Linked DNA regions of Notamacropus eugenii. The protein of the gene in region 1 binds, or shares a complex with, the protein of each later gene. Links are inferred from orthologs where the notes say so. Each region holds a gene or a part of one and is shown in the gene's direction. Other genes may lie near its edges. The genes, in order: DISP1 and SHH.

Region 1 (16,463 bases):
ACAACTGCTCCAAGGCTGCCATTTCTAGTTCCCAGGTAGGGGAAGGGGGAAGCTAAGTTTGGGTATAGACTTTCCTCCCTTGTGCACCAGACTGGTTCTGCTGCTCAGTTTCTATCTTCTCAACAGTAGAAGGTGAAAACGAAGTGCAAAAGATGATGAAATGGTCTGTCAGCCTTCTTCTCTAGACCCTAGAGATGGATGAGTTCTCTGATAAGAATCTGTACTCCTGAGACCCAATCACTCAATCATCTTGCTGGCTGTCCTAGTTGGTAGAAACCAATTAGGAGTTCTATATCCTCTTAGCAAGATATATCAGTATATATGCACTAACTCTTCATCGGTGGGAGAGGATGCCCCTCAGATATCTCCGAACAAAAAAGTTTCATCAAATTAATTGGGAAATTCATCAAATTGATTAGGAACTTCTCTGATCAAGGACTTAACATGTGAAGAATACTTTTTGAGTCTGTAACTATTTACAGAGTGTAGAGGACACCTCTAGGGAGTTTATAAACTAAGCAAAAGACAAAATCTTTTAGTAACAAGAACACTACTTGACACATTTTTTTTCTTGCTTCAGAGAGTTGGAGAAGGCGTTGAAGAAAAGGCAACCTGCAATCCTGACAGCAATCAATCACTAGGATATTTATATAGAAAAATTCGCTCTTTAAGGAAGAAAAATAAATGTTCGGAAGGGAAAGTTTCAATCTAAGTTTTCCACATATAGATACCTCCTTCCCAAGGTGTAAAATTGTTGTTCTAATAAACAGGTATAAATTCACTCTGTGGTTTCAGGACAATGCTGAACTCTGGTTATTAAGATGAGAGCTGTTTCTCCATATTTAAATTACCAAATGATGGAGAGAAGGGTAGTCTAGGGAGTTAATTCCCATTGGGAAGAAAAAAAATGACTTGTTTTTCTATCTTCCTTGGAATTCACTATTGCTATTAGCAGAAGTAGGCTAACATAGTAGATAGAGTTTGGGACCTGGACTAAGGAAGACCTAGGTCTGAATCCTGCCTCTGATATCTACTAGCTGTACGATATGAACACTTAACCTCTCAGTATCTCTCTCGCACAAATCTCAGTTTCCTGATCTCTAAAATGGGAATGACAATTCCTATAATATTTACCTCTCAGGGTTGTTGTGAGTTAAATAATATTTGTAAAATGCTTCGCAAATCTTAAAGCACTACATAAATTCAACTATAATCATTAATATATAATAATGAATCACAATGTGGTTTATTTGGCGTATTAATAATGATAACCACATTCATATATAATTACATACAATATGCACATATGTATATAATTATATCAATTTAAGGTTTGCAAATCACTTTACTCGGAGCATTTCAGTTATTTCTCACAGCAACCCTCTGAGGGAGTCAGTCAGTCAACAAGCATTTATTAAGCATGCACTAAGTGCCAGGAGTTAATGTAAGTATTATTCCTATTTTACAGCAATGAAATAATAACAACACATCTATAGAATGTTTTGAGGCTTTTGGAGATCAGACAGCTAGTAAACGGGAGACCCAGCACTCCCTATTCAAACAGATAATAAGTAAGGAGGCAGAGGACTGCTGCCTCTGAACTGTCCAGGGTCTGTGGGAATATCTGAAGAAGGAGTAAAAAGAGAAAAAAACTCCCCTTTCCCTTCATTCCCACATATCATGAATTAAAGTTCATAACCTTACAAAAATACGTATCTGCTTCATTGAATTTGTGGTCTCATCCATGTGGATAACCATTTCACCTATACAGAATGAAACCCATCCAAGTCCTATTAAAAACCTTATAAAAGCAAACCAAAAACATTAAACGCATTGTAGGCGTTCTAATGTCTAAGGCAGATTTTCCGACTGCCTCAACCAAGAATGTTCTTAGCCATAAATTGAAAATGACTAAAATCAAGCTATGTTACTATGTTTCAACTAGGTTTGTGAAATGCTCACCAGTGTTAAAGGAAGTTTTGGAAGAAAAAATGAGAATTACAATGGAAATTAATAATAGTTACAAATCCCCTTCTGAACCTCTTTCCCCACTTCTCAAACTGTTAGTTCAACTGTTAACTCAAGGAGTTGAGGAAAGGATCTTCTTTAGACATCTGACATTTTCGTTGACTTGAGTTGCCAGAGGTCTGACGGGAGAATCTGATTAGTTTTATACTAATACAGAGTCAGGGAATCATACATACTTCGTTTGGAATTCCACTGAGGAGAGGTATTGTATATCTAGGTATTAGCTCTTATCCTGTTGATCAGATTGTATCTTTGGGGGGCGAGGTCAAAGTTAAGAACATTTCACGGTGACATGGGTTTTTTAGTTTTGGCTCCTGACTCCAGGAGAGGGGTTTTTGAATAATTCAGAGTGCAGTATCTACGGTAGCCACCAGGTGGCATTCTACTTTCTGGACCGACAACCCTTCCATAGGCTGTTACGGTCCCACTGGCCACTAGAGAGAACTCAAAGCCTGAACAAGTCTTCGAGCACCAGTCCCTTTTCATTTTTGTTCTACTGAAGGGCAGCTTTATTTTCTTGAGCAAGCTATTTCTTCTTGTTCCTAATCTAAGCAATGAAAATATTAATATTTAAGATAGTAGCCACCACCCATCGGGAGAATTTACTCTCTTGTTTCCCTTTGTGTCCCTTGATTTAAATATACAACGGATGCGTCACAAGAGTTTTTATAGATTTGTTAAAACAAATGAGCTTCATTACTGGCATGGAGATGGACGCTGCTGTCTATCTTTTCCTCTCCTTCCTTTCCCCTTTCTTTCCAGGTCTTTTGTGAAGGGAGGGAAAGTTTCTCTGCAAGCCCAAGGCTCACAGAGAATAAAGATACGGGAAGGGATTTTTGTCATACCTCAGCAGTAAAGGAATAGAGAGTTCATTTTAAATCAATCTGATAAAATTCACTACATCTGAGTAGTGTAGCAATGTTTATATTCTTTTTTTTTTTATAGGTGATTATGTGCAAAGTGCCAGATTCCTTTCTAATCCTTCTATCAATGAAGTATCTTTTCCAGATGACTTAAATTACAGTATCTTTAGACACAGTTCCCATAATTCAAATGATTTTTTCCCAACAAATGAGTTACAGAACAAATTGTTTCACTGTATAATGTCATTTCACTGTAAAATGCCATGTCAACAAAGTAGGAATATTGAACAATATGGAGAATATGATAGAAAACCTCAAAAAAATCTATAAAATTAATCAAAAGCAAACTTACTGCAAAGGGAAATATATTTGTACATCATACAGGACAGTTGGAAACATAGGTTAAATATTTAAGGATTTATTTTAAAAATTTGAAAGTATGTAGACTAAAGTGACAGACTTGAAACACAAATCTCAATGCAACAATCTCAGAATGAGTAATATCCCAGAATATTTAGAAAAATAAAATCTTATGACCATTGTTGTCTTCATGACCCCATCTGGGGTTTTCTTGGCAAAGATACCAAGGTGGTTTGCCATTTCCTTCTCATTTTATAAATGAGGAACTGAGGCAAACAGGGTAAGGTTAAGCAACTTGCTCAGGGTAATACAACTAGTAAGTGTCTGAGGTCAGATTTGAACTCAGGAAGAAAAAGGTCTTTGTCACTGTAGGCTAGGCATGCTATCCACTGTGCCACCTAGCTCCCAGAGTATATTCTTGGAAATTGTCAAAGAAGACCTCCAGAATTAGAAAAAAATTAATAGTGAAAAATAAATACAAGTCCATAGGAACTCAACAACCTCAAAACCCAAACAAACCAGGAATCGGCATGACTAGACACATTATTGATATAGATACATAGATATAGATAGATATATTATAGATATAAAGTCACAACATAATGTGACGAATTTTAAACTAGAAAAAGATTCAACTTGCCAGAAGGAATATAGAATTCATTTACTAAGGAACAATAATCCAGATCAGCATGGATTTTTCATGTGAAAGAAGAGACAATCAGAATAATTAGAATAGAACATGTAATTAAGTGATAAAGTCAGTATGCTTTCTGAAGGCAAGAGGGAGATATATGCAGAGCACTAGAACTTTAAAGATTTCACTGAGAAATATATGCATTTTTTAGAAACTCTATAAATATGTGCAGTGACCAACTCTGATAGACTTGGCTCTTCGCAGCAACACAAGGTAATGAGACAACTCCAAAAGACTCATGATGGAAAATGCTTATCCACATCCAGAGAAAGAATTACAGTCTGAATGCAGTTCGAAGCATACTATTTGTTCTCTCTCTTTTTTGCTTTGTTTCATCTTTCTCATTATTCATCCATTGGTTATAATTCTTTTTTACAGCATGACTAATGTGATAATGTGTTTAACATGAATGTATTAGATTGCAGGAAGTCTTGGGGAAAGGTAGGGGAGAAAATTTAAAACTCAAAAGTTTGTGGAACTGAATGTGTTAAGCTGAAAATAAATTAACAAATCAAAAATTTTAAAAAAAATGCTATAAATAATAAGCCTCCAAAAACCAAATATATAAAACAACTCACAGCTCTCTGATCAACAGGAACTAATTGCACACAAAATGAGGGAAACTTTAGAACATTGTGTTGATTAACTCATTAAATATTTCAAATGGATATTTCAAAGAAACTGGATGAAAGAACAAAAAGGGAGGGTGGCAGAGAAGAGTAATCTCAAAGCAAAACTCATATCTAATAAAGAGGAAATATAAACTAAAAAAACTTACGAAGTAGTTGAGTTAGAAGAACTTTGTTTAGAGAAGATTTGTTACGTTTGGATTAATAATGGAAATAATATGGATAGCAAAGTTTTTTTCCTTTCTGACCTGAATAACTGACCAACCAAAAATTAGAATTCTAAATGTAAATAGTCTAAGCTCTCCATTAAAATGAAAGGGATCACACAATGAAAAAAACCCCAAACAAACCATAATCCAGTTCTCTCATTTTATAACTGAAGGAAACTTAAGCCCAATCAGGCTAAGTGACATTCCCAAAGTCCCACAGGTAAATATTTCATCTGTCTATATACCTCAGTGTCCTATATCAAATTTTTCCTGGTCCCAACTCAAATTAGTTTTTACTTATTTCTATGCATGCTACATCCCTTCCCCCCCTCCCCCCCCAGGAGAGTGTAAGCTCCTTAAGAGCAGGACCTTTTTCTTCTGTCACTGGTACCTAAAATGGTACCTTACGTATAGTAGGTACTTGAAAAAGATTTAATGAGGTGGATTGCCAAGGAGAAAGCAGATTGTTGTGACCTCTAGCTGGTGAGGAGAGAGGAATAAGGAAGAGAAGAATATTGCATATAAAAAATATTTCTACTTGTATCCACAGAGTAGGGAGCTACCATTACAGAGAAAGGGAGAGGTCATTACATTCCACCCCTCCTCAAAACAAGCAGTAAAAATTTCTTTCTTTTAAACCTTATCTAGGGAAATTTCATACCTCATCATCATAACTATTACAAAAATTTTTCCTCTTATCTAACTTATGTTACTTTCATGTCCCACCTCATTTTCTTCTCTCTTAAATTTAAAGTCCTTCACAACCTTTCCACTGTCTTATCTTTTCACTTTCTTTATATATTACTCCCTCTCTTTTACTTTCTCCTGGCTTTATTCCTGACTCTCCAGACTTCTCTAACATGCCTTTAGACTTCTAATCTGGAGATCCCTCTGCCTATGCAATACACTTTCCATTGCTCTGATGGTCGAATTCCTTCTGTATCTTTCATTTTGAAGAAGAGTCTAGGCCAGTCTTTCACTCTTCTCCTGGGTCTGCTCTTGATTCTCTGGACTTTTCCCCTTTTTTCAGCTTCATTTTGTGTGGTGCTTTTCTCTTTGTTTGTTGACTGACTTACCAACTGACTCTAGCAATACCTGACTTCTTGCTGTTCACCAGTCTTCTGGCACTCTTTTCAGTGACAGTCTCCCATGCCTGGAATAAATTGTTTCTACCACTCACTTTTCCGTTTTTAATATTAAGTTTTATTTTTTTCAATGAAAAAAACCTATTTTTTCTTCCTTCCCCTTCCCCTCATTGAAAACAAATAAATAAACTAATCTTCTGTAACAAATACATATAGTTAAACAAATTAGATTCCTTGTATTGGAAAAAAGTAAATCCAAAAAGTAAATGCCCCAATCTGGGTTCTGTGCCATCACTTCTCTGTCAGGAAATAGTATATATAGACCTAAGTAAAGTCTTTGACAAAATCTCTCATTCTCTTGTGGACAAAGATGTTGTGATGAGGGTGATATGATGGTACAGTTATGTGGATTTCAAGCAAGGTTGAAAAATTGAACTAAAAAAGGGACAAGTATTTATTCACATTAGATTGATGGAAGTTTTAGTGGAATGACTCTGAAGTCATTCTTTGATACTATGCTGTTTAACATTTTTATAACTATTAACATTTATAATTGTGGGAAGATTTGTATGAACTGGCACAGACTGAAATGAGAAGAATCAGGAGAACAATTCATACAAAGACAATAATATGTCAGGCAAATAACTTTGAAATACCTCAGACAGGTAGGTAGAGAAATGGACTGCTCTCTGGTTCTGGAGTCAGAAAGTTCTGAGTTCACTCTAGCCTCAAACACTTAATAGCTGTGTGACTCTGGATAAGTCATTTAACATCTCTCAGCCTCCGTTTCCTCACCTATAAAATAGGGATAAATAATAGCACTCTACCTCTTCAGCTTGTTGTGAGGATTAAATAATACCTATAAAGCTCCTTGTAAACCTTGAAGTGCTACTGGCTGTCAACAGTATCAATCATCATTAATGTGATCAATGAAAAGACGGACCATAATTCCAGGGGCTTCTTTATAGAGTATGAGCCTCACCACCTGACAGATAGATGACAAACTACATGTTTTTTTAGATATGACCAATTTGGGAATTTGTTTTGTTTGACTAAACACATTTTTTATGAGGGTTTTCTTTTTCTATTTCCTTTTTCAAAGGGGTGGGATGGGAGAGGAAGATGGATTTTTGAAAATTGGAAGAAATAAAATTAAAAGCAAAAGAAAAAAGTCAATTTTTTTAATCAACAACTTGGCTGATGCTATAATAAATATACAGGTCAGATTTTTAAATGGCACAAAGCTAAGAGAGATAGGTAAAATGCTGAATGCAGAGTTTGGAGATAGGCAGCAAAACTGCTCCATATAACATATCAGAAAGACAACCCTAATGTCTCCCTTTTCATGTGTTCTACCTACTTTTTTTTTAAGCAGGAGTGGGAGGGAAGGGCCGCTAGGTGGCACAGTGGACGGAGTCTAGGGCAAGAATCAGGAAGATGAGTCTTCCTGAATTCAAATCTGACCTCAGACACTTACTAGTTATGTGACCCTGGACAAGTCACTTAACCCTGTTTGCCTCAGTTCCTCATTTATAACATGAGCTGGAGAAGGAAATGGCAAACTGCTCCAGTATCTCTGCCAGGAAAACCCCAAATGGTGTCATGGGGAGTCTGACATGACTAACCAACAACAACTTGCCCCTTTTTAAGATACGGAGAGAGAAGGTCAAAGAACTACTCTTTGATTCTGAAAATTAGAATGCAGAAGTACTTCTCCTCCCACCCTGAAAATATATTTGATGTATTTAACCAGGATGGAAATTCACTGAGGGATCTGGAAACTGCAGAGGGAAATAGGGCTTTTGCTGCTAATTCTCTACACCATCATTCTTGATGTAATTAAACTGATGTGTTGGAGAGCTAGATTTCAGTAACAACACTGAAATAGCTGTAAAAAGCTGTTCCAAATCAGATTTTTTTTTTTACCTTGAGGTAAGTTCTCCTCCTATTCTTGAACACCTCCCTCACTGGAGCAAGGGTCTCCTATTATATTTGGGCTATTTTTTAAAAATATGACTCAGGGGTCAGGAAATGATCAGGAAGAGCATTTTTGTTCTGAGACTTTAAAAACTGATTGGAGAGAGGCATGATGCAGAATGTTTCTGAGTCCTAGGAGACTCTCTAGTTGGCTGTTCTACTTCTCTTTATAGCTGGATTTCAGTCTGCCTTTCAGGCTAGATTGGTTTGGCACTTAGCTAGAAAATCAGAACTTTTCTCCAATCTTAACATAAATGTCTGGGGACGTAGAGCTGTATGGTGGAAAGGTCATTGGATTTGGAGTTAGTTTTGGTTGGTTGGCTCAGTCGTGTCTGACTCCTATGACCCCATTTAAGATTTTCTTGGCAACTGGAGTGGTTTACCATTTCCTTTTCCAGCTCATTTTACAGATGAGAAAACTAAGGCAAACAGGGTTATGTGACTTGCTTAGGGTTACACAGCTAGTATCTGAGGCCAGATTTAAACTCAAGAAGATGAGATTTTCTGACTCTTGAAGTTCCACCTTTGTTGCTTACTACCTGTGTGTTCAAACTAAATTGCCAAGCATTTGCTGCAGAGAGCGTAACTCCTCTGGGCTGGTCATGTTGTTCTAATGCAAAATGTACGCTTGCCAAAAAGACTATTTTATGGAGAACTCACATGGGGCAGGCAATCACATGGTGGTCAGAAGAAATGCAAGGATACTCTCAAGGTCTCTTTCAAGACCTTTGGATTTGATTGTACAATATGGGAGATACTGGCACAGGACTGCACAGAATGGCATGCCCACATCAGAAAGGGTATTATGCTCCATGAGCAAAGCAGAATTGAAACAGCACAAAGTAAATGTAAGATGAGCAAATCTGGAGTATCTACCCCCAAAATTCATATGGACTATCTGTGCCCAACCTGTGGTAGAGCATTCCGAGTTTGTATTGGTCTGATCAGCCACAGTCGGACACATTAAAACTTGACTTTATCATGGTGATGTCATTTTGGTTCTCTTGGAGAATGAAGGACAACAACCAACCAACCAACCAACCTGTGTGTACTTGAAGGCACTGAGCCTCTGTTTCCTCATTAGGAAAATAGAGAGGTTGCACTTAGATAGCTTTTGAGATCCTTTCCACTTTAAAATCTGTGCTTTGAAGATACTAATACGACCTAGATCTTTTAAAATGAAATTGGAATGTCATAAATATAAAATTCTATAGTCTGGTTCAAAATATTCATTTTTGTAACCTCGGTAACAAAGTCCATTGGTAAGAAATTCTTTCCTCCTTGGTAGAGATGAAAACCCTATTCTGCACAAAGGGTGGGGCATAGTTGATAAGAGTTTCCCTCTCTTCCATCTTCTTTGAGCCTTGTTCATGTTGTCTTCAAGCTATGAGTAGCTTTGGGCTTCCAGCTTCAAGAGGGGAGGTAGAGAAAGCCACCCCCACCTCAGGCTGCTGAAGAGAAATGCTCTTAGAAGATAAAAGAACCGGCAGTCTCCATCATTATCTGAGAAGATAAAAGAACTGGCAGTCATCATCATCAACAGGCAGCCTCCCTATCCGCAACCTGCTACATTAGAGACTGTGGTGGAGATCTCAGATTGTCTCTTTTGGTTGAGCTGAGTTATCTCCCTCTTAAGAGGTAAGCTCCTTCACTCTATATTGTTTGGTATATAAGTATGTAAGTATGTATGTATGTACACATACCTTGTCTGATTTCCATTTTGCTACCCATTTGGGTAAACGGATTTTCTTGGCTGTCTTTGTGTGCTCATTGTGGAACTGGTGTGGGTATAGAGCTTGGGGTCCTTCTCTCTCCTCCCCCCACCCCCCAGTAATGAACAGCAATCCGAAGTTAGCTTGAGTCTCATCACATCCCTTAGACTTTAAGGGAACAGATAGATATAACTTTACCCTACCAGTACTTTCTCTCTCTGAGGAGAGCAGGGGCGTCCCGCCCCTACTTTCTCTTTCTCCTCCAAGCAAGGATTAAAGTCTCCTTTGGAGAATGGTGGAGGGAAAGGAAGCTAGAGATATTTATGCTGCCTCCGTTTGATGAACCCAAGACTTCCTATGTTATATGCAGGGGACAGTCAGAGAGAGAGAGAGAGAGACTTTGTGTGACTTCCATGAACTTAACCGGTAAGAAGGAAAGAACCCTTGCTCTCCTTCTTTTACCTGTCTGAGAGACATGAGCCCGGGGGTGTTTGTTTCCGTTTCGTATTCTTTTCCTTGACTTTCAGGTGCCTGAGGTGATCCCCACCCTTGGACTAGGAGTTTGAGGCGGAGATCTTGGAGCCAGGATTGCAAGAGTGGGGCATGTAGCCCATCAGGCCAGCTTGGAAGCCCTGACAAGTCAGAATGACGGGGACTTGAGCCTCAGTGGGGCTCTGCATGTTGAATTGGGACTGGACTCTACAGAAACTGAGATAAACTGCGCACCTAACCCTCTTTCCTTCCCCAGGGACCGAGGGTTGTGCTTCCCTCGTGTTGTCGGAGGGAGTGAATTTGTGTTTGTGATACATTTGAAGTAAGTATTCTTCTGCAAAAAGCTTCCTGTGTTTGTTTAAAAAAGTACAAAACAGGAGAATAGCTGGATAACAATTCATCTGAAGAGGCTGGGTAGGAGTGGTGACGGTTTGAAGCATAGAAGTATAAATCAGCAATGGGACACAGTAGCAAAAAAAAGAAAATTAATGTCATCTTTGGCTGCATTCTGAGGCACAGTGACTAATGTGAAGGAAGTATTATTCCCACTGTGCTCTGCCTTTGTCTGGCTAGATTTGAAATACTGTGTTCAGTTCATAGTAATAATAGCTGACATTTATGACCTTGGGTGTTCCCTCAAGGCTCTATTTCTTGGGTTTAACTACTTTTTTTTTTTTTTTTGCATATAATTCCCAAATTTTCAAATCCAGCCCCAATCTCATGCCTGAACTCCAGTCAGAAATCAATAAATACCAATGGACATCTTCACCTGTATATCTATAGGTATCTCAGACTTTAAATGCCCAAACAACTTACAGTCTTCTTTCTTAGACCTATTCCTCTTCTAAACTTCTCTATTTCTGCTGAGTCATCATCATCACATTTGCAGCCTCAGATTTATCTTCTACTTTTCACTCTCACTTACCCTGACACCCAGATCCCATCAGTGGCCAAGTCTCATCAATTATACTTCCTCGATGTCTCTTACATCCATCCCTTTCTCACTTTCTATTCTGTTCCCCACTCCCACACTCAGCTCTCAACCCCTATTCCCAGCCCCATTGAAGGAAGGGAATACATTTTATTTTGTTTTTTTATTGCTAGCGTCTAGCACGATGCTTTACACATAGTAGTCACTTTTAACATGCTTATTGAATGAATATATTTTCTTATTGGATTCTTACAATAACACTTTGAGGGTAGGTGGAATGGTTATTCCATTTCTAAAACATTTTTAGAAATGCTCATTTAAAACAGCTTTTGAGAGCTAGTTTTTTCAAAATAAGGAAAATAGTTTCATTCACCTTTGGGCGTGGGATAGGGTGCAAAAATGGTTTTGCCATGTGGTACTCATCCACATATTCATCAGGTAATCATAAGTGACTTTTGGCTGATGTCTAAAATTTGAATCTATCTTCAAATAGTGAAAAATAGGATTTACCACCAACTAAGATATTCAAATGAATGTGTTGCAAGGCCCTGAAGGCACTCCCTTTTTGAGCTATGACAGTATCATGGAATAGGTGCATAGCTTACTGAGATGACTACTTTCAAAGATACACTATTTGCTTTTTCATCTCTTGCCTCAGTGACTTTGCACAGGCTGTCACAATGTTCTTCCCCTTGCCTCTTGGAATTCTTAGCTTCCTGATTCCCAGTCCAATGCTCAATCCACTGTGCCATCTACCTTCCCTTCAAGTAAAATTAATAAGTGATAATAATTATAATGAATGACAACACTAAAATGAATAATATGGTGATGGGAATTAAAGATTAAAGGGAAAGAAAGGAAGAAGACAGGATGGGAATTCCCTGGAGGGATGGGGAATAGATAAGGGAAGGAAGTGAAGCCCTGGGAGAGGAGGCCTGGAAAGGCTGACAGGCAAAGAAGAGAGAGCTAAGTCTGATGTACAGCTCCCGGCATTTTGACTCACTGTCTCCCATGCCTAGAACTCCCTACAAATCTCTGCCTCCTAACATCTCTGCTTCCTTAGTCTCGGCTAAAATCCCACCTTCTGCAAGAATCCTTAATGTTGGTGCCTTCCCTATGAGATTATCCCCAATTTATTCTGTACATATTTTGTTTGTACATAGCTTGTATGTAGTCTCGCTCATTAGATCATTAGCTCCTTGAAAGCAGGTAATGTCTCTTACCTTTTTTTTGTATCCCCAGCACTTAGCACATGCCTGGCACATAGTAGGTGCCAGGTGATTGACCAAAAGTGCATGCAACAGTCCACATTTGTGGCACCCCCATCTCTCTATTTAAAAAATGTTCAGAAATCTACTTTTTCCTCTCCGTTTACCCATGCTTTCTAATACACCAAAGTTCCTTTCTAAGCTTCAGGCACCACATTTGGGGAAGGCTGCTGATAATCTAGAAAATGTCTGAGGAGAGCAACAAGGATGGTAAAGGGCCTCCAGTCCATGTAAGGATGTTTGAAGGAACTGAAGCTGATGGAGAAAACAGAACTGGGGAGGGAGGTGGGAAGGTATGACCTACTAGACTTATTATTGTGCTTGGTTTCAGTGGTCAGGGTTGGGAGCACTTGGTGAAAGACTCTTGGTCTTGATATGTGGAAATAATTAATAATAACAAATAATTACTGTGATATGAGTACTATCTATATCATTTACTATACCTATATTTGATATAATTGATATATTAAGTATAATGCATATTATGTAAGTTATATTATATACCTCTATTTGAGATAATCTAGATCTAATATATACTTTACATAACAACATAACACAACATATAATATATAACAATATTTTACAGCATAAAATGATCATAGCATTTTATATTATAGTGTATCATTAACATAAATATATTAGTATGGCATATAATAGATTATATAAATGTAGGTATATATTTTATGATATACAGTAATTTATTATAATGAGGCATATTTAATAGAATACATAGATTATACAGAATATAGATAGATAAATGACATGGATCGTACATATATCCAAGTGCTAATAACTATTATTACTTCTACATATCAAGCCCGAGTCTTCCACCCATTGCACCCAACCCTGACCTCTGGGGTGCAGCAAGCCAAGTCTAGTACTTCTCTGAAGTAACAGCCCTTCAAATAACTTGGAAATGGTTATTATTCCTGCACACCTCCGCCCCCAGTTTTCTTTTCCCCATCAGCCTCAGTTCTGTCAATATAATATCATATATTATGTATAGATCGTATAAAATATAGATAAATTCTGTATAAATATAATAGATATCCTTCTGGAGAGGGAGGATAACTGCGTCCAAGTATTTGAAGGGGGGTTGCTTCCAAGCAGTACTAGACGCCTTTCTTTGCCCCAGAGGTCAGGTTTGGGAGCAAAGGTGGAAGATTTGGGCTTGACGTCAACAAAAAGTCATAATAATAAGAAACAATTACTTTGCTCTAAGTAATATCTGTAGTAATTGGTTGTCCACACTTGATATAAAGGCAGACATACGACGCACGCTGATCTATTACCCACAGTTGACATGTTATCTACATCGGATACAAATAGTAACAGTAACAGAAAGGGCCGGAGCTGCCCCGGCTCCTCCCCCTCGGCAGGTCTTCGGGCTGGCCAGCCCTGCTCGTGGACCTGGCTGAGGAGTTTTGGAAGGTCCAAGATCTGGCAGCACTCGAAGTACTCGGAGATCTCCCCAATCTCCGGAGTCTAAGATGGGGCGGGGGAGAGGGGGAGGGAAGAAAGAGACTCATTGTTTGCTACTTTCAGTCGGAGCCCTAACTCCGCCCCCGCTCCCGGTCTTTCTCCAGTTCGCGCCACACCCTAGCCACGCCCCCGCCCTCCCCCGCGGGAGAGCGCCTCTCCGGGCTCCCTAAGGATTCCGAGAGCCTGTTAGTGTCGAGGTGACGTAACGTGACGTCTGGGAATCGGACCGAGGACTGGCGAGACGGGGAAGGCGGGACTTCCTGCCCCACGCGGCAACCCTTTCCGTCCGGAGCCGGAAGAACAGGTCCCCGCTGGTGTTTGGGGCCCCCGGGCGGCTTGGAAGAGAAGGTGAGCTTTTGGAAACCTGGTTCCCTCCCTGGAGGAGCCCGAGCGTCTGGTCTCCTTAGAGAATGGCGCTCGGCCAGACCGCTGTCCCGGTGTCACGGGAGGGCCCGGGGGATCGGAGGTGAGGGACAGGGGACATCCCGGGCTTGGAAGGGGAGGGACCGGGGATCCCGGAGAGGGAGAGAAGGGAGGCTTGGACTGGGACTAGGGAATCCCCGGGAGCGGAGCGGAGCCCTGCGGGAGGAGGCCGGCAGAGAGCGAGAGCGGAGGAGGGAGCGCTCTGAGCGATGGGCACCTTGGAGGGCACCAGACCAGCCGGGCGTGCCCAGGAGGGAGCCCCGGAGGGCGTGGGGGGGGCAGCTGGGGATGTCATCCCGCCAGAGATGGACATTTTGCGTGGAGAATCTCTCAAGGCGGGTGGACCACTGGCCGGAGGAAGCTTCTGGCGAAGAATAGGGCAGCCCCGGTTGACCTGTAGGAGATGGGTGGAGGTGGAGCAGCTCTCCTTTGGGAATTCCCGAAGGGAAAGACTGGGGTCTCCGCTGCCAGAGGTGACAGACGCCCAGGGTTAGGGAAGCGTGTTCACCTGGGTACTGGATGTTGACCTGTCACTGCTTCATTTACAATTAATACTGTTTTTTGATATAGGTATTTTTCTGTGTGGATTTCAGGGAAAGATTTTCCAAACCCACTGAAGACTTTTGAACTCTTCTTCACCCAGGTCTAATTTCGTAGAGCTACTTGTCTTGCTTTCCGCTTTCCAATTCATTATATTGTAAAATTTCCCTTCCAACGATCAACCAGAACCGTTCTTCTTGGTTCCTTCTCACGGAGTTTGTTGTATTTTTGTTACTTTATTGCTTAATGAAAGTGTCCTCGCCACCTTTTTGTTTTCTATTGAAGAAAAATTCAGAGGCCTCCCTTTGTAGGATTTATAGTCATAGTACATTGTTTATGTTTCTTTTACACTCTGTTTCTATATTCTGACATGTCTGTTTTGATACACCAGATCATTTCCTAAATGTTGGCCTCCTGGATAGTTCCTTTAGTTAAATTCTTCAGATTAGGAGAATTACTTCTTTTCTTCCACTATTTCTTCCCCAAAAATGGTAGTTTTGAGTAGATTAGGAGACATGTTTCTTGTCACCTATTCCTCCCTCCCCAATTATGGCAGATTTGAATTAGGATGCTGTTAATAACTGGCATTTCTTAAGGAAAGACCCTTTTCCCAACTTTACTGAATCCAATATAGAGTAACAATTCTAATTGTATTGATCAGAAGATATGAGATGGTTTTAAAATATGGCATCGAAACCATTTTTCTGTCCTTTTATACCTACATTTCAGCATTTTATTTTAATTTTTCTGTCTTGTAACATGCCTACTTTTTGGTAATTTGTTACTAATCTTAATTATCTTCTGGATTATATATGTATTGTCTATTTATCTGTCCACTTATTTATAAAGAGAGGTAGAAATAGGATGACCTGAATTCAAATACTGTTTCTGACACAGGCAGTGTGAGCTTGGACCAGTCACTGAAACTCTCAATGCCTCAGGCATTGTCTGAAGGTATGATGTTGTATGACAGGTACCGAGCTGTACTAGTAGAAGGAGTTTCCTCATGGGGAATTCTCTACAGCAATGAAATCACAAGTCTGGACTGTATACATACACATACATACACACATACATATGTGAATATTATATATTATATAAATGTATACTCAATGTAATTGTGCAATCAGACTCTTTCTGGCTATTAAGTAGCTGCAATGTTGTTTGCCCAGAAATTTGCCAGTTTTAGCTAGGAAGAGCCAGAATTTCTATTACTAGTGCAAGTTGGTATTTGATGATTGGCAATTTTGCTTGTTTCAAGTGTTTGGCTTTTCAAGTATTTGCTTCTTTTACTTTGTAGGTAACTTTTAGTTTGGTTCAGTAGCCTGACTCTTAACCTTTCCATGTTAAGTAGGGAACTGCTATTTGTAGTTGACAGTGAAGTGCCTTGCCACCTTTGTTATTACCTCAAAAAGCACTTCTAGGGTGGCCCTGAAGATTTATGTTTGAGCGAGATTTAAGAGTGTTCCTGATACTGGCTTAGACATAAAACATAACATTGGCACAAACCACTGCTATAGAATATAGACTTAGTACATTGAATGCTTCCCCTTCCTTCCTTCCTCCCTTTCTCCCTTCCTCCCTTCTTCTTTCCTTCTTTCCTTCCTTCCCTCCTTCCTTCTTTTCTTCCTTCCTTCTTAAGGGGATGGAGGAATAGATGAAAAAACCCAGCAGTTCGCTAAAGTGTTTACATTAACTGCCATATTCATTCTTAGATATAGCTTTTAATTTTAATTGTTCCCTTTTCAAGTAGATAGGCCTTAATTTGAT
Region 2 (16,229 bases), on another chromosome or scaffold:
GATTAGAAAGAGGACAGGAATAAGAGAAAAGTTAGGACTGGATCTGTGGACCTGATTGTCACCTGAAGTAAATAATCATCCAACCCACAGAACGGATGAGGTCACCAAATGAAGGCACCTGGTGAAAGAAGAAAAAGAGAGCAAAACAGGGGTTTGGAATAAACCAAAAGCATCAGAAACTCTCATAAGCTTAAAAGAGGGATGGTGAAGCAAGAAATTCCTGGTGTCCCACCACTGAGATACTGGTCTCCCCACCACCATCCCTTGTCCACAGTTTATTAGGATTTCCAGAAATGAGAGGGCAGAGTCAACAACAGTACTATTCTGCCAGCAACCCCTACCTGGGGCCTTGACTGTCAGCATCTCTCCTGCTCCCACAAGCGACCTGAAGGCTTAAGGCAACTGACAAATAACTCTTCCTCACAGGAAGTTCAGGGACTTCTGCTCTAAAATATAACATAATGAATAAATCTTAAACATTTGATCTTTCTCAGAAACACCCACATTATACTATGGGAAAGGTATCATAGGATTTAGAGTTGCAAGAAATTTTGCTACTCAAAATACATGATCACATTCATATAGCAACTCCTGAGGTAAGTAGTGGAAGTATTATCAACATTTCCATTTTACAGATGAGGAAAGTGAGACTTAGACAGACCAAATGATTTCTCTGTGGTCATGTAGCCAACAAGTGTCTGACCCAGCATTCAGACCTGGAAACTTTTTGACTCTAGGTCCAACAGGCACTCTTGCCAGTGCTCCAGGCTTTCTCTTTCAGGAGCCTCAGAGGTTACTTTGAACCCCTTATTTAGCAGAAAATCATAGTAGAATGAGATGAAAATAATAGCTTATGTTACATAATATCTTAAAGTTTACAAAGTTATATATAATGTATATGTGTGCATATATACATAGACATATATGTGTGTATGTATATGTATATGTATATGTATATGTATTATTTGTGCCTCCTAACACCTTTGTAAGGGAATTACTATAAAAGGGTTGAATGACTTGGGAGCTAGACTCATGATTTCATTAGGGAAAGAAACTCCTGGTGAAGAATTTCCTCTATCAAACTTCCTCTGCTACAGGTAGTTATTATCCCCATTTTACAAATAAGGAAACTGAGGCCAGTGAGGTTGAATGACTTCCCCAAGGTCACACAGGTAGGAAATGAAATAACTGAATGAAAATCCAAGACTTCTGACATGAAAGCCAAAAAGCCTTCTACCACAGTACATTGCTTCAAAGTAAAGGAATCAAGTTCTGGCAAAGAAAATTGAAGCTTTAGCAGGGAAAGAAGAAAGTTGAGAGGGCAATTGGGCCTTCCCAGCATTTCCCAAATCACAACATGGTTGTGATAGACAGACAGACAGACAGATAGATAGATAGATAGATAGATAGATAGATAGATAGATAGATAGATAGATAGATATAGATACTTCCTATTTTTCCTATGTGTAAAGTTAATCCTGGTGGGGCTGATGGGTGCCATTGTGATAACATTCCTTTAGCAAAACTTTTCCTCCTCTTCATTCCCTCTAGGGAAATAAAATAGAGATACAGTTATAGCAGGAGCTGTCTTTTGCCTTTGGTGAACTAGGATCCCCAGTGCTCAGTACAGTACCTGGCACATAGTAGGCACTTAAGTTTTACTGACTGACTGGCTAGACTTCCAAAACTAAATGACAGTCATGGGATTACCTGGGACGATCATTCTTTATTCTTCCTTTCTGGAAAGTTCAGGATCATGTGGAATTCTACACAACACAATAGAGAAACACGATATTAGTGTGTATCTGCCCAGGTTTTCCCTGTTCTGGGGAGCTGCTCTGCTTGGCCACCAGCCTCCTGCTGCCTGTAGGAATCTCCATGGTGCCTGAATGTAACTTAATTGCCTATCGGTGCCTTTCAGAATTCAAGTGCCCTCCTTTTGTAGTTATATTTGCCATATCTAATGGTGCTGAGCTGAAATATCCTGTCACCAGCAGAAGTGGTAGTGGGGTGTCATAGAAGATAGGATTTAGAGCTGAAGGCAACCTCAGCAATCATCTAAGTCAACCTCCTCATTTTGCAATCAAGAAAACTGAGACCCAAAGAGGCAAATTTATTCAGTCAAGGGGCAAAGAAGGATGTCAGTATCCAACTAGCAATGTCTTCAAATCTAAAAAGTCCTCAAATTCAAGATCTGAGGATTATGTGAGATTAACTAACTCCTCCAAGTCAATTTTGTAGCCTTCATCCCAAGTTAAATTAAACTCTTATACTCAGTAAAGATAAGGGAGGGGCCAGTACTTTAAACACATATGCACAAGGCTGCATATTTCAAGTTGAGTGTTCATCCTTAATTATTTCCTGCCTTTGTTGGCCTGTTATTTCAAGGGGCCTCATCTTTGTCACTAACTAGTTGTGTGGCCTTAAGCAAGTCGTTGAGCCTGTATCTTAGTCTCCTTATCTGTAAAATGGGAACCTGTCCTACCTCATCAGATTATTGTGTGGCTCAGATGCTATCACACATATGAAGGTGTTTTGGAAAGCATAAATCACCACAGAAAAGCAAGGTTTATGATCATGCTGGCTTTGTATTGCTAGTATGGGTCTGCCTTATGTGGAATAGAATGTACTATGAGGGAACGGAGGATCCACTAAAAGTCATAGATCGTAACCTTCATGAGTATATTGTTTTCCAATAAAAGTGAGGTATTATTATTCCCATTTTACAGATCAAGAAACTGAGACCCAGGAAGGTTAAAGTAGTTTTTCCTACCAGTGTTATGTGGGAGTTTGTGTGTGCATGTTTGTGTGTATGTGTGTGAGAGAGAGAGTCTTTGTGTGTTTGTGTATGTGAAAGAGAGTATGTGTTATATTTAATAGGAATGCATATGTAAAGCCTGTATCAGATTACAGGTTACCTTGGGGAAGGAGAGGGGAGGGAGGGGAAAATTGTAAAACTTATGGAAGTCAATGTTGAAAACTAAAAATAAATAAATTTTAAAAAGGAGTGTGTGTGTGTGTGTGTGTGTATGAGAAGAAGGGAGACAGAGAGAACAGGCAATCAAGCCTAAAATGCAGGTTTCACACCTTCTGGTGCAGTATCTTTTCTGCCAAAACCACATTGTCCTCCACATCTAGGATTAGCCAGCCAAGCGCATATAAACACAGACCATAGGACCAAACAGAACCATTGCTCCTCTTGCTTTCTTGGGCTGCAGTAGAACCCTTTATCCCACTACAAGTGGGAATGAGAGGCAAACCTGCTGCTGCAGTGGCATTTAGTTCCTTAGATGCTGCCGCTGCTGACCCTGATCTAAGGATGCTGAGGAGATGCCTCTGTCCTCCTGAACTCTGGCCCATGGGAATGGAAGTAACTTCCCCAGCCCTTCACTTTCATGGGAATCAAAATGAAAGGAGGTGACTCCTTGCTGGGTTCTCAGCCACATCTAATGAAGAGCTGGTGCTACCCACCAATGGGTGATTCTCCTTGACAGTCTATAGGGTTTTTTGTGTCTTTTTCTTTGGCCTGGTAGTGTGGGAGGAAGATGCAATGAGAACTATGAACACGACTTGGCTGTTGAAGACAGTCACCTTATTCCCACTAATCCCAAGGGCCCAGTGCTTAGCATCTTCCCAGGATACATGGAGGAAGTGTGATGTCATGGACATAATGCTGGACATGAAAGGAGAAGGTTTCAAACCTCAGGCTTGTTACTGACTACATACATTAAAAAAGGCTTTATTGGGATCATAGCTCTAGAGCTAAAAAATACCTCAGAGGATAATTAATTTTAAAAAACCCTCATTTTATATATAAATAAACTAAGGTCCAAGAGAAATAAAGTGATTTCCTTAAGGGTCCAAAGGTAGTACATGTCAGAGACAGTGCCTGTGAACTCCAGAGCCAAGGTTCTTTCTCCCTGGAAGCACGTTGGCAGTTCTTTGAATTCAAGGACTGTTTCATTTCTGTCTTTGTATTCTGAGTACCTTTGTTTCAAGAATGAACAGCTAATGGGACCCAGTTGAACAGGAGAAAAGAAAGTCTTTGAAAATTGTCAGGTTTCTTTAATGACTCCAAGTTTCCCATGAAAGCAAAAGCCTATCTTTTAAATATCAACATTCTACCAATACTGCTGTATGGCAGATATATATAATAGCTTTTCTCCAAAGAATCAAAAATTAATATCATAAAAGGCAATGGAGACTTTCCTGGTGGGTATGAGGTGGCTGCAAGAAATAATCACTGAGGAATTCTGAAGAAAAAGAATAAGAAATGTTACCAAGGAATTAATTATATGAAAGGAATGGTTTGGTCCTGCCTGTATCAAGATAAGAGAGTGCTTCCGTGGTACCCTTACAATGTAAGAAGAAATTGAGGAAGGCCTCTAATATATTAGGTGAACTCCCTGTGGCAAACATATAGAAAGATGTGGACCAAAGTAGAATGGAATTGGCAGACATGAATGGGCTGCTAATGCACTGCTGGAGGGAATTTCAAAATCTATGAGATCACAGATCTATTTGAGTATCCTGGGCCTAGACCAGGGCTTAGAACATAGTTGGAGCCTGCTAAATGGTTATGGATTGGTTGATCTATAAAATTAGAGAGCTGGACTTATAACCAGAGGTTCTTCAGCTGGGGTCTGTGAACTTGTTTCTTTCATCATTTGGTAACTGTATTTCAATATAATTGGTTTCCTTTATCATCCTGTGTATATTATTTTATGCATTTAATAGCATTAATCTGAATAGGGAGCTATAGACTACCAGGCTGCCAAAAACGGTCCAAGACACAAAAAAGGTTAAAAACTTCTGGACTTGATAATCTCTATATTCTTTGATCTTGGGAACTGCCATGGTGAAGGGAACTGCCAAAATTATGAGTTGAGTAGCACTTCTTGGATGTATGATTTCATTTGTGTATTTCTGTCACTAATAAAAAAATGTGACCCCTTAGTAGACAGTCTCCAAAAGTAACTATCTATCACCCAGACTGACAGGAAAGCCAGTCTTACTGAATCAAGCACCCTAAGAGAAAGACAAGCAAGTCAAACAACCACCACCACCTTGGCAACCATCTCCCTTCAGACCCTGATGGAGGCAGTCCAGAAGCCTGAGCCCAAGAGTTTTGGAAACAGCAATGCTTCCAGCCTAGTGCCCTCAACCATCTCAGCCATCATTCTGGGAAGCAGTCCTTGTGGAAATGCAGCCTGGCAACTGTTCCTACAAGTGCTGCAGTCAAGCTATTAAAGACCTAGAAAAGAAAGTTCTTACCACCAAAGTCCTTGGCACTGACAAATAGTTCAACATCAGAAATTGATAGAATGACATTCAAGAAGCATTAATGTCTGCTTTGTCATGGCACCCTGAGGAGCATGGGACTTTTCTATTTGACTTGAATCTGAAACCTTTCATTCTTAGTGAATTTGAGATCAGTCTATTTTCATTGTCTCTTTGTATCACATTAAAGTGTTTAATAAATGCTTTATCCATTCATTTATTCATTGCTATAGTAGGAAAAAAGCATAACTTAGTATCCTATCTTGAGATGATGAGTCTTTTAAAACATATCTAAGTCCTTGGTTGACAGAAGCATTGACTGGGCTTTTCAGCTTGGTAGGACCCTCCAGGACTTCCTTCTGCTGGTCTAGCCTCGGAGAACCCACTGTCACCTCTATACCCTATGGAGGCATCTACTTTATGGAGGTAAGGGTCAGATGCTTTCCTCAGAAATGCATACAAGGCAACCCTAAGAGTAGGCAGTGGTGGGGCGGGGGGAGTTAGAAGCACAGAAGGGGAAATATAGGACTGATGGAAATCAGAGCTGATGAAGCTGAGGCAAGATTGAGATGATCATTACTGAAGGGAAGGAGAATGTACAGAACTAATGGAGATGCCAAAGGGGAGGAGGAGGTTATCCCAATTGGTAAATGTAACGTTGGAGCTGGAGACTAGGAAATAGAGGTAAATGGAGAGAAGCATTAGAGCACTCCAGCATAAATCTCATGGGATAAAGAGAAAGTACAGGTGGCATGATGATGGTTGGGGAAGAGGGCAGTGGAGTGGGAGGGTCAGTCTATCTTCTCAAGGATTTCCATGACAAAGGTCAGCCTATCTTCCCAGGGCCTCCAGGTTATCTCAGGCACCTTGTTTTGGTTTGGAAAACCAGGCCAAGGCTTGAGCCCTCCATGTTTAATCTGAAGGCAGAGTGAGGGGGCCATCTAGTGTCTGGGGCTGAAAGGGGGAGACAGTAGGAGCTGTTTCAAGGAAGGGCGCCATCTGGGGGCTTGGGGGTAGAATCCAAAGGGAGGTCACCTGTCCTCTAGTGGGATGGATGGATGGATGGATGGATGGATGGATGGATGGATGGGGGAAACCCAGGTGGAGTGGAAGCAGAGAATGGGACTTGCTGACAGGCAGAAGGAATAGGCTGGGATTTGGGACTGACAGTCAGGCAAAGGGAGGGGCCTGGCTTGTCTGGAAGTGGGTGGGGGAGGAAAAGGGAGAGAGCCATCTGGTGTCTGGAGGTGGAAGACAGAAAGAGTGTCTGGTGTCTGGGAAATGGGAAGGGTGTCGGTGAGATGAAAGGAGGGGGGAGAGAGACAGTAGGGGGAGGGGTCTGGGACGAAGAGGAGCTGTTTGCCCCTGCTTCATCCACCTCCAGCACTTTGACTGAAAGTGTTTCCCAAGAAACAACCAGACCCTCGGTTTTCTTAGACGATGAGACTGTGAGCATTGTGGAATCTTTTTTTTTTATTTTGTTTTCTCCTTTTACCACCCTCCACACCCCAATTCATGACCGAGAGATCGATGCAACTGACGAGGGCATCAGTATTGGATCCTGTCTGGGCTTTCCCTTCATCCTCATTACCCTCATCATTATTTTAAGACTTGACAATCCATCCAGCTCCTGACATCATTCTTTCCCGGTGTAGGGGAAGGTGGAGGAGAGGAAGATACTGGGAGGGAGGATTGGGGAGAAGGCAGGGATGTCGCATTGCTACCGACAGAAGCTGTGAGGGATCCTGGCGACTTTAAATCAACCTTTGAGCTATCCGATGGGCCACGCCAAGCTGGGTCCCCTGCCTGTCCTCTCTTAGGGAGACGGAGAAGGAAGAGGCAATGCAGCAGTTCAGCCAGATCTCAGAATCTGGGCTGGGGACGCAAACTGAAACTGCAGCATGCTCAACCCCGACCCTTTCCCCTCCCACCCAGACCTCCGCTTTCTCTAACTTCTGACTTGAGATTTTCAACTCTTGGCTTTTACACACACACACACACACACACACACACACACACACACACACACACACACACACACGGTAATAAAAAAATAAAAAAGTAAAAAGCCAACCCTCTATGTTGTCGGTTTGGGGTTTTTCCACGTGCATTTATGATTTGCATTTAATTAATTCCTCCTCTTTCCTTGCCTGTTGCTCTCTGGCTGACTGCTTTGTATGTATGGAAAGCCGGCTAATGAGGAGGTTCCCCGGGATTCTAGACTTCACTCCTTCACTGCCGGGCTCGCGAATGAAGTGGCCAGTGGGGAAAAGCGATCAAGTGATGTGTTTATTAATTAATTAATTTATTTATTTGTGAAGTTGGGGGTGGGGCGGGGAAGCGGGGGTGGAAAAAGGGAGGGGAAGGAAAGAGAGAGACGTGCCAGGGCGGGGGAGGGTGATCAAAAGGTGTGCAATATTCCACACAGGCAGGATCACTTCTTATTCCCTGGCACTATTTAATCATATTACATCAACACGTGCTGCGCCAGGTAACCACATCAAACGACCATACCTTCTTTGGGATATAACGTTATATCTTTCTTGTATCTATTTTCACGGGTTGAGTACACACACACACACACACACACACACACACACACACACACACTGCAAAAAGTTAAAACACCGACTTGTCAGCTGAGGTCTATCTGTCTGGAGCTAACCCGGGAACTTTTAACACAGATCCGTCCTTTAATTGATAGAGTTGGGAAGGTGTTTTCCAGCTACCCAGGGCCTGTTCAGATCTCTTCCTGAGTCGTAGGATAGGGGGACCAGGCTTTGTACTTTGTAAAGATCTGAATGGAGGGGACTATTAAAAAAAAAAAAAACGGGAGGCGGGAAGAGGCAAGAGCTTGTGTCCCATTTTGGAAATGCCATAAGAGTGTTAATTTCCACCACTACCCCCTCCTCAAAGGTTATTGCGATGGAATATTTCATAGACCTACCCAATTTACCGCATTGCCGAGGGAGTTAAAACTTTGAGGTCTGGGAGACCTTTATTTACTTTCTTCTCCCCATCCCACATATTTGTATTCTTTTTTTTGGTCTCATTTCTTTCAGAGTATCTGATTATTTCTTAGTGTATAGTTTTAGTTCTATCTCTCATATGTACTCCTACGACCCTCAGTTCCTTCCACCCCAGTAGTAGTCTTTTTTTTTCTTTTCAAAAAGAATAAATAAGAAATACCATGTTCTTCAAATGGGACGCTTAGAAATTCCATGTTTTTCTGATTTAAATGGAACTTTCTCTGAAATGAGTGTGGAGGTACAAGGAACTGACTTTGTAAAGATTCAGAGATCTAAGGCCAATGCTGCTGGTTTGGGAGTTGTTTCTTGTAAAGGGACGTGACTGTTCCTTAGAGAAAATGCTTTTGAATTAAGCCTCCTCCTGCCCCCACCCCACCCCAACTCCGATTTCCAGCGACTCGGCTTCTCTCTAGTCACTTTAGGTCTGGCAGATAATTTTGGGAGCCCAGAATAAAGACATCGCTGCACTACGCTGAAGAGAGCCCTGAATTTAACATTAAACTCATCCCCTTGCCCTGCACTTTGCTCCGATCGATCTGTGGGGCTGTTTGCGAAGCTCTACCAAAAGATTGCTGTCCTTCAAGAGGAAATAACTCTCTTCCCACACCGCTTCCCTCCCCCCCCCATTCCCTTCTTCTTGGAGCTGGGGTGGGGGTGGGGGGGGTCTAGTTCCCTAATACCTCTTAGCTTGAACACACCACTTTAGTTTGGGCACTGGGTAGTATGACCTGGTGCCAGGGCATCTGTTCTCTCACTCTCCTGTTCTGCAAGGTTTGAAGAGGTGTACATCTATTTCAACTTTGACTGTGTTTCAAGCATTTTGTGTTAACAGTTAAAGTATTTCAAGTAACAGTCCTCTCAGACATTTCCAGTTATAATCACACTCGCCCCCCCACACACACACTTCTAAGTCCACAGCTAACCTTAGTCTACTTCCAAGGATGCTTTCTTCAGTGGCCAAAGGCTCTTCCCTCTTGTGGAAAGATATTGTTGCTTTTAAACAGAGGGAGAAGGAGAGAGAGAGAGAGAGAGAGAGAGAGAGAGAGAGAGAGAGAGAGAGAGAGAGAGAGAGAGAGAGAGAGAGAGAGAAATCTTGCCTTCCTGATAAAGTCACTAAAAGGGATTTGTATAAATCAGCCGTGTTGCACTCATGGTTTTCATTGAACATTTGTCTGATGATCAAGGTTTGACTGGGAGTGAAGGGCGAGGGGAATGAGACAGAAGGAAGAATGAACTGTCTTTAAAAATTGCACTCGTATGAAACTTCCTAAAAGGTTGTCTAACAGAAGCATCTATTACTTTACTTGACAAATTTACCTTTCTCAGGAAAGTTTAAGAAGAAAAATCATGTAATTTATGTTATCCTAATAAATCAGATTCTACCTCACTACGATACAATTCACTTTGTGTTCTTCCCCTCCCCCTTTCTTTTCTTTTTTCTTCCCCCCCCCCCTCTACACCCCCCCACCCCCCCCGCCCAAGCCCTCAGGTGAAAGTGCGGCGGCGGCAGCAGCAGCAGCAAGCTGCAGCAGCAGCAACAGAAGAAACATTTTGTTGCCTTTTTGAGGGTTAAATCAGAAGACAGGCTGTCTCGCCTCGGCCAATCAGATGTGGTCCCTGCCAGCTATAATATAGTGCTAAAGGCAGGCTTCTCTCACAAGCGTTTCTAGGCTTGCTACCATTAAAATCAGAGTCTTTTTGTCTTTTGATTGCTGTCTCGCGACCCAACTCCGATGTGTTCCGTTATCAGCGACCGGCAGCCTGCCATTTCAGCACCTGTCTCGATAGGGATCGGTGGATAGTTGAAGGAATCAGCAAGGAAGCAAAGGCTTATTGAGAGGGAGAAAAGAGAAAAGGAAAGAGAAGAGAGGGAGGAAGGGAGGAGAGAGAGAGAGGGAGAGAGAGAGGGAGAGGGAGAGAGGAGAGAGAGAGAGAGAGAGAGAGAGAGAGAGAGAGAGAGAGAGAGAGAGAGAGAGACCGAGACCTAAGGAGACAGTCTGAGATAGACACGCGCAAAGGCGCGCGCACACACACATATACACATACACACACACACACACATACACACACACACCAAGGAAGCTTTGAAGTAACTGGATTCAATGGACGAGATGCTGCTACTGACGAGATTTCTGCTGGTGGTTCTCGTCTCTTCCCTCTTAATGTCCTCGGGGCTGGCGTGCGGACCTGGCAGGGGATTTGGAAAGAGGCGCCACCCCAAGAAGCTGACCCCCTTAGCCTACAAGCAGTTTATCCCCAACGTGGCGGAGAAGACCCTAGGGGCTAGTGGAAGATACGAAGGGAAGATCTCCAGAAACTCCGAGCGATTTAAAGAACTCACCCCCAATTACAATCCTGACATTATATTTAAGGATGAAGAGAACACCGGAGCGGACCGGCTGATGACTCAGGTAGAAACCCCATCCATCCATGTGTGGCGTTTAATATGTTTCTTTGAAAGGCAAGGAAAATGTGAAAGGAAGCGCTCACAGAATGAGCCTCTGTCCTTTTTTTCTTCTCAGTTTTAAGATAATATCCCTTTCCCTCCTTAGCCACCTACCCCATCACCCTTCCTCTTTCTCAAAGAATCCATATTATAAGTAGAGCTTAGAGAAGTTTGGGGGTAGGAATGGGGGTGGGGAGAGTGCAGTTGAGCTCGGGTTTTATGTCATTGATTTGATTTCTGTGTTATTGGTCTGCTACTTCCTATCCTGTCTCAGCCCTGTCATGCAACTTGCTAGGGAGAGCTCAGCTTTTAGGGCATTCGGCTCCTTGAGTCTGTCCTTGTTGCTTGGGGAGGAAAGGAGGTGGAGAGGGAATAGAAATCAGAGAGATGGAAGAAGGGGGAATCCGTCCCCCCCCCCCAATATACAGTGACCACCACATCAGGATTACTGTCTCTTTGAGTATTAGATCTTAAGACACTTTTTCTCTATCTCCATTTTTATTTCCTTTCTCACCCCCACTCTTCCCACATCTCAAATAAATTCTTAATTCGGCAGGCCAGGGGAGGCTGTTCTGACAAAAGGCAGTGTGGCTTCAGCCACAGCTATTGCTCTCCCATTTCTGTATTATGTAGCTTGTATTGCAATACCGTTTTGCAATTGTGCCCATCGGAGTGTGAATATATTGATATTTCTTTAAGGATGCTCTCTTTCTCCCGTCGCCCGTGGTACCTTAGGGGAGGGACTTATAACTTATTAGCATTGCATCACTCTCTTTTAAATCAGATTGCTCAAGAATTACAACCGAATAAATATTGGGTGGGGGATGGGGAAAGGGAATAGTGGAAAGATGGAATGCAGAACTATCTTAGGCTTGTTATTTATTTTATCTTTAAAAAAAGAAAAAGGAAGAAACCGCAAAACAAACGTTCCCTTCGTACTTCCCTTCCCACATTGAGATGTCTGAAAAGCAAATTCGACCGCCAGTCACGGACTTTCTGAAACTCCATAGATCTAATAAGCTGGAAATGGTTTTCCTTGCAAATATAGGTCAATATCATTTTTATTGCCCTATTAAAATATTTAAGTCCCACCTTTGGTGCTAGCAACGCAATGAGGTTGGAGGAACCGCACTAGTGGGGGTGGAAAGTTGGGGGGGGGGGGTCGGAGTTGGTAATGATTTCCCCCCCTCCCAACCCTATTCAATCCCCCAAGTCCTCGGTTTATTGAGGGGCAGGAAAAAAGACTGTCCTGAAAGATGACTTCTATTTTAAAGGGTGTCCTTAGCCTCTCTTCCTCATCTGCTCTCGACCACCTTAAATCTTACCTAGAGCGTTGACGCGGGCTCTTGTAGGCAGATAAAAGCGTGAGCCTCAATTATGTACAGGCCACAGTGTGCAGGTTGAGTGCAGCGTGCTGGACTGAGTTTGCCAGCTTGCTTGGGCAGGAGCTTTCACTCCCTCCGCCCCAACCCCAACCTCTGTCCCTAGCCTGCCTCTGGCTGCTCATAAACCCACTGGGGGCGGGGGGCTGGGCTGTAGTGAGATGGCTCAGGATCGGAGGTAGGATGGGGTGGGGGTGGGGGGCCGGAGGTTCCTGGCTCAGAACCCTGTTAATAGTTGCTCTCGTTTGTGGAAGCCCGCCTGACAGACAGCCCGAGAGCCCGTTTCACCCATCCCTGGCCCCCACCGCCCACCAGACCTCAGTTCCCGGGTGCTTACAGCCCTCAGTCATCGCAGCCTTTCAGAAAAGCTGCAAGGCAACGGAGCTGTACGCCAAGTCAGACGCATTTTCAGCTCCACTTACTCCTTCTTTATCGATCGCCACGGCTAGGGTTTCAGCTTGTATCCTTTCTAATACGACAGAGGCTGGGGCTGCTGCTACTGCTGCTGCTGCCGCTGCCGCCGTCACGAGTCCAGATTCTCTTAAACCCGAAGGAAAGAAACCCTTCCCCTCCCTTAAAAGATCACGCCCGCGAATTAGCTGCATCACTAGAACGATGGTGATGATAATAATAATAATACTATAATGATAATAATTAAATAAAGCTGCTGGGGGGGGGCTGACTAGGCGAGGGTTGAGGAGGAGCAGGCGGCAGCGGCGGCGGCGGCAGGAGGAGGAGGAGGAGAAGGTAGGAGGGGTGTGGTGAAGATGTTTTAAAGGGCTGGGTACATAGCTGGAGAGCAAGCTCCGAAGGAGGACTGCTAATAGCCTGTCTGCTTTCTCTTTCACTGCTCTGCGTCTTTTCATTCCTTCTTTCCCCTTCTCTCCTCTTCTGCAGCCCCTTCCCCAGCCTCTCCAGAATCCTGGTCTTCTCTCCCTTTCACCCCCACCTCACTGATTCTGCATCCCCCTCCGACCTTTCCCTCGTCTACCTCTGTCCGTCCTTCCCCGCCCCCTCAACTGCTAGCCCTTCCCAGGGAATTCAGCGCCAAGCCTGCTACGGGCTTGACCACTCTGGCTGCCATTGGCCGGCAGCATTTGAACTTCTGACCTTCTGTCAACTTCCCTCAGACGAACGAAACGAAAACAAATAAGTTCCCCCCTTCCCTTGCGCACACACGCACACCAGAGCGTTGGCTAGTCCTGTTCCCGACACAAAAGATGGGGGGGGTGGGGGGTGGGCAAGAGCCAGAAGGATTGCTGGAGGGAGGGGAACTCAAGTCCCCGTAACGCTGCCCCCATGGAAGTACCCTAAAAATAATGCATGGTAGTGGGAAGAAAGAAGAGCTGAGGACTCAGTCCAGTCACCTGGTTTCTCTCTTCCACCCTACACCCTTCCTAATATCCTGTTCTCTGGGCTCCCCCAGTGAAAAGTGTGATGGGGGGGGAAGGAAGTCATTGTTGTTGGGGTGTAGTTGTGAGATATAATAATATCCTGTTGATCTGGAAGTGGGGGGATGGGAAGACTGGTGATCAGTTTCTCTGCAAAGACGTGTCTTCTGAACTGGGGTTCAGCAGGCGGTCTCCCTGAGTTAGACCAAACACCCGTGTGTGTGTGTGTGTGTGTGTGTGTGTGTGTGTGTGTGTGTGTGTGTGTTGCTTCACAAGTCCCTCAACCATGGCGAGATCTTCCCCAGTGGAACTTTGAGAACCGTTCCTGAACGCATTAGCTACTGGTTAATATTAACTCAAGGGAAGGGGGAAACGCAGACGGACATCGCTTACAGGCTCAGGCAGGTCAGGTCCCCAGTCTTAGGGGGGGCAATGGTCTGAAAGGGGGACAGCGGGAAGCTAGTAAGGGAAGTCGGACCTGTATGGAGGGGGAAGTAGGGAAGTGGCCTGAAATTGACGCATGTCCCGTCTGCTTTGCAATCAAGTTAGGGAAAGGGAATGTTGAAATATGGGGGAAGAGGGGGAACTTTGATGGGAGGGGGTGTTTTTTCTTAGTTAAGTAGGACAGGAGACGTATGTAGGGTATGATTTTGCGGGTTGTGGATCTTTTGAAGTTTAGGGTGGCCCTCTTTATGGGAAACCCACCAAGTTGTTTACAGTTGACAGGTACCTGCTAAGTGTTTTCCTCCGAGCATTCATTTGTGTAGAGAGAGGTTAGGCGCTTGGCAGAGAGCTGGGGCGTGTTGAACTACTTTGCTTCGGCTGACACAAAAGCCCGAGCTGAGGCGGCCCTGCTGGGCTTCACGGTGAGTGAACAGAATTGGGCTTGATTCGTGGCACACGACCCAGTGAATTAATAAATTGTCTGAGCTTCACGGCTTTTGACTCCGACAATCCAGCTCAGCCAGTATAGAGTGAGAGTCCTTCAGCCAGCAGCAGCAGCAGCAGCAGGAGGAGGAGGAGGAGAAGGTGGTGGTGATGGGGGTGGTGGTAGTGGTACTTCTCCTTTTACCAGAAAGAATTAAAAGGATGGGGGGGGGGGGGCTCTTGCCAAATCCCCACGTTCCACCCCCACTGCCTCCATCCCCATTCCCCACTCCACACCCGTATCCTTCTTCCTCTGAGTGCATCCTTGTGCTCACTTCCGAATGGCCCAGCTTAAGTTAGAGATCTCGATCCCGGAATGGGAGCCTAGATTGCCCCGGGCTGTTTAAAGATTCACAGTCTGGTGGGGACCGAGACTGTGAAGTGAGTCGGGAAAGACCCCGGGTAGGGAAGAGAAGCCGTGCGTGGGTATGCGTGTTTGTATATGTGCGCACGTGCACCCGTGGCCGCGGGGCGGGCTTACTCTCCCAAGCTAGAAATCCAGCGTGGTTTCAATCGCTGGTCTTCCACGTAAAGTGCGTGTCATCCTCGTGGTGACCTCACTCAAACTCTTCTTCCATTAAGAAAAAAAAAAAGTCTAGCAGCCTCAGAATCCTGCGAGGGCTAGCCTGTTTTTCCCCCTGCTGCTTCTTGTTTTTCTTTTATGTTTAACTCCCACAACTATATTACCGTTTTTATTGCTGCCAAATACACAGAACCTTTCCTGTTAAGCAATCATGTCAAATTCCCTTGAAAACTGTGGAGTAGGAATACTATAAGGCTTCCGTCTCCTTCCACCTTCACCCCACTTCCACCCCCACTGTGCACTTCGGCCTCCAACCCCCCCCCCCCCCCCACCCAGCTACCTCCCTGCTACCCCGTCCCCAAAAGACTTTCTAACAAGCTGTTGTAAAGGGCTCCTTTGTGGTGGGCGATTTTACATATTGGTAGCCTCTTTGGGGAGACTTGTCTGGGAGAAAGTCAAGCATCGTCTCTAGTCTTCGGAGAAGTTAACAGCAAACAGCCCTGGCAGTCACTGAGGGCCAGTCCAGGCGCCTTGGCTAAAGTCACCTCCAGTTCTTCTACAGTCTCTGCTTCTGTTCCTGGTTTCTGACTCTGGCTAGAAAAAAGGCACCCTATCCTATATCTCCTGGAGACACAAAATTCACCGTCACCACCCCCTTCTCAAACCTCCCAATCATTATCCTCCATTACCAACTTCTTTTTTCAATTTTCTCCATTCATTCAGTTAAATCTTCCCACAGCTTTCTTTTAGTTATAGTTCTGACCTGACTGAAGGAAGTGAAGTTAGGAAAGTTACCTGGGAAGCTCAGTCCCCATATCCCAAAAGTATATTTCAGTTTTCCTCTAGAATTCTCTTTGACTAGGTCAAGACCAATATAACATTGGAGTAATTACAAGGAGAGCATTTTGGCATATGCTCTGTGTGCATGTGTGTGGGAATAGATGGATGGATGGATGGATGGATGGATGGATGGATGGATGGATAGATGGACAGAAAAGAAACAGAAAGAATGCTTGTCTTTCTATCTTCTAGACTTTCTTGCAGAAACATTTTCCCTTCCTCATTCCCCATCCTCCTTCTTACCCCCCCTCCCACACACATGCAGCTCCATTCCTCTTTATACATAGAAACACCACCCCCTCCCTCCAACTCTTCAGTTTGCTCTTCAAACTTGCTGGACGCCATTCTAAACTGGGGCCAAGAGAACAAGAGGGGAGGGAAGGGAAGGGAAAAGGTTAAAGAAAACAAGAA

The links.
Region 2: the proteins of DISP1 (region 1) and SHH are in contact, whole or in part, in a cryo-EM structure (PDB 7E2I), measured with the Homo sapiens proteins. The link is inferred for Notamacropus eugenii from reciprocal best matches to the Homo sapiens genes DISP1 and SHH. Residues at the interface, in NP_001356523.1 of Homo sapiens: Lys242, Thr244, Gly245, Tyr246, Lys247, Ala248, Glu260, His265, Arg299, Phe336, Gly337, Asp338, Leu339, Cys340, Gln341, Arg342, Thr343, Glu459, Arg899, His904, Asp906; in NP_000184.1 of Homo sapiens: Pro49, Asn50, Val51, Thr55, Leu56, Gly57, Ala58, Arg68, Glu71, Phe73, Lys74, Leu76, Thr77, Pro78, Tyr80, Pro82, Arg96, Leu97, Gln100, Lys186.

What each region holds. Positions count from the first base shown.
Region 1 is NC_092873.1:413,858,861-413,875,323, reverse strand, and holds the start of DISP1 (protein dispatched homolog 1), read left to right. Parts: upstream 1-9,216; 5' UTR 9,217-9,483; intron 9,484-9,874; exon of another isoform or gene 9,875-9,983; intron 9,984-10,084; 5' UTR 10,085-10,371; intron 10,372-13,834; 5' UTR 13,835-14,196; intron 14,197-16,463. UniProt on the Homo sapiens protein: Functions in hedgehog (Hh) signaling. Regulates the release and extracellular accumulation of cholesterol-modified hedgehog proteins and is hence required for effective production of the Hh signal. Synergizes with SCUBE2 to cause an increase in SHH secretion.
Region 2 is NC_092874.1:89,218,662-89,234,890, forward strand, and holds the start of SHH (sonic hedgehog protein), read left to right. Parts: upstream 1-9,974; 5' UTR 9,975-10,411; coding exon 10,412-10,720; intron 10,721-16,229.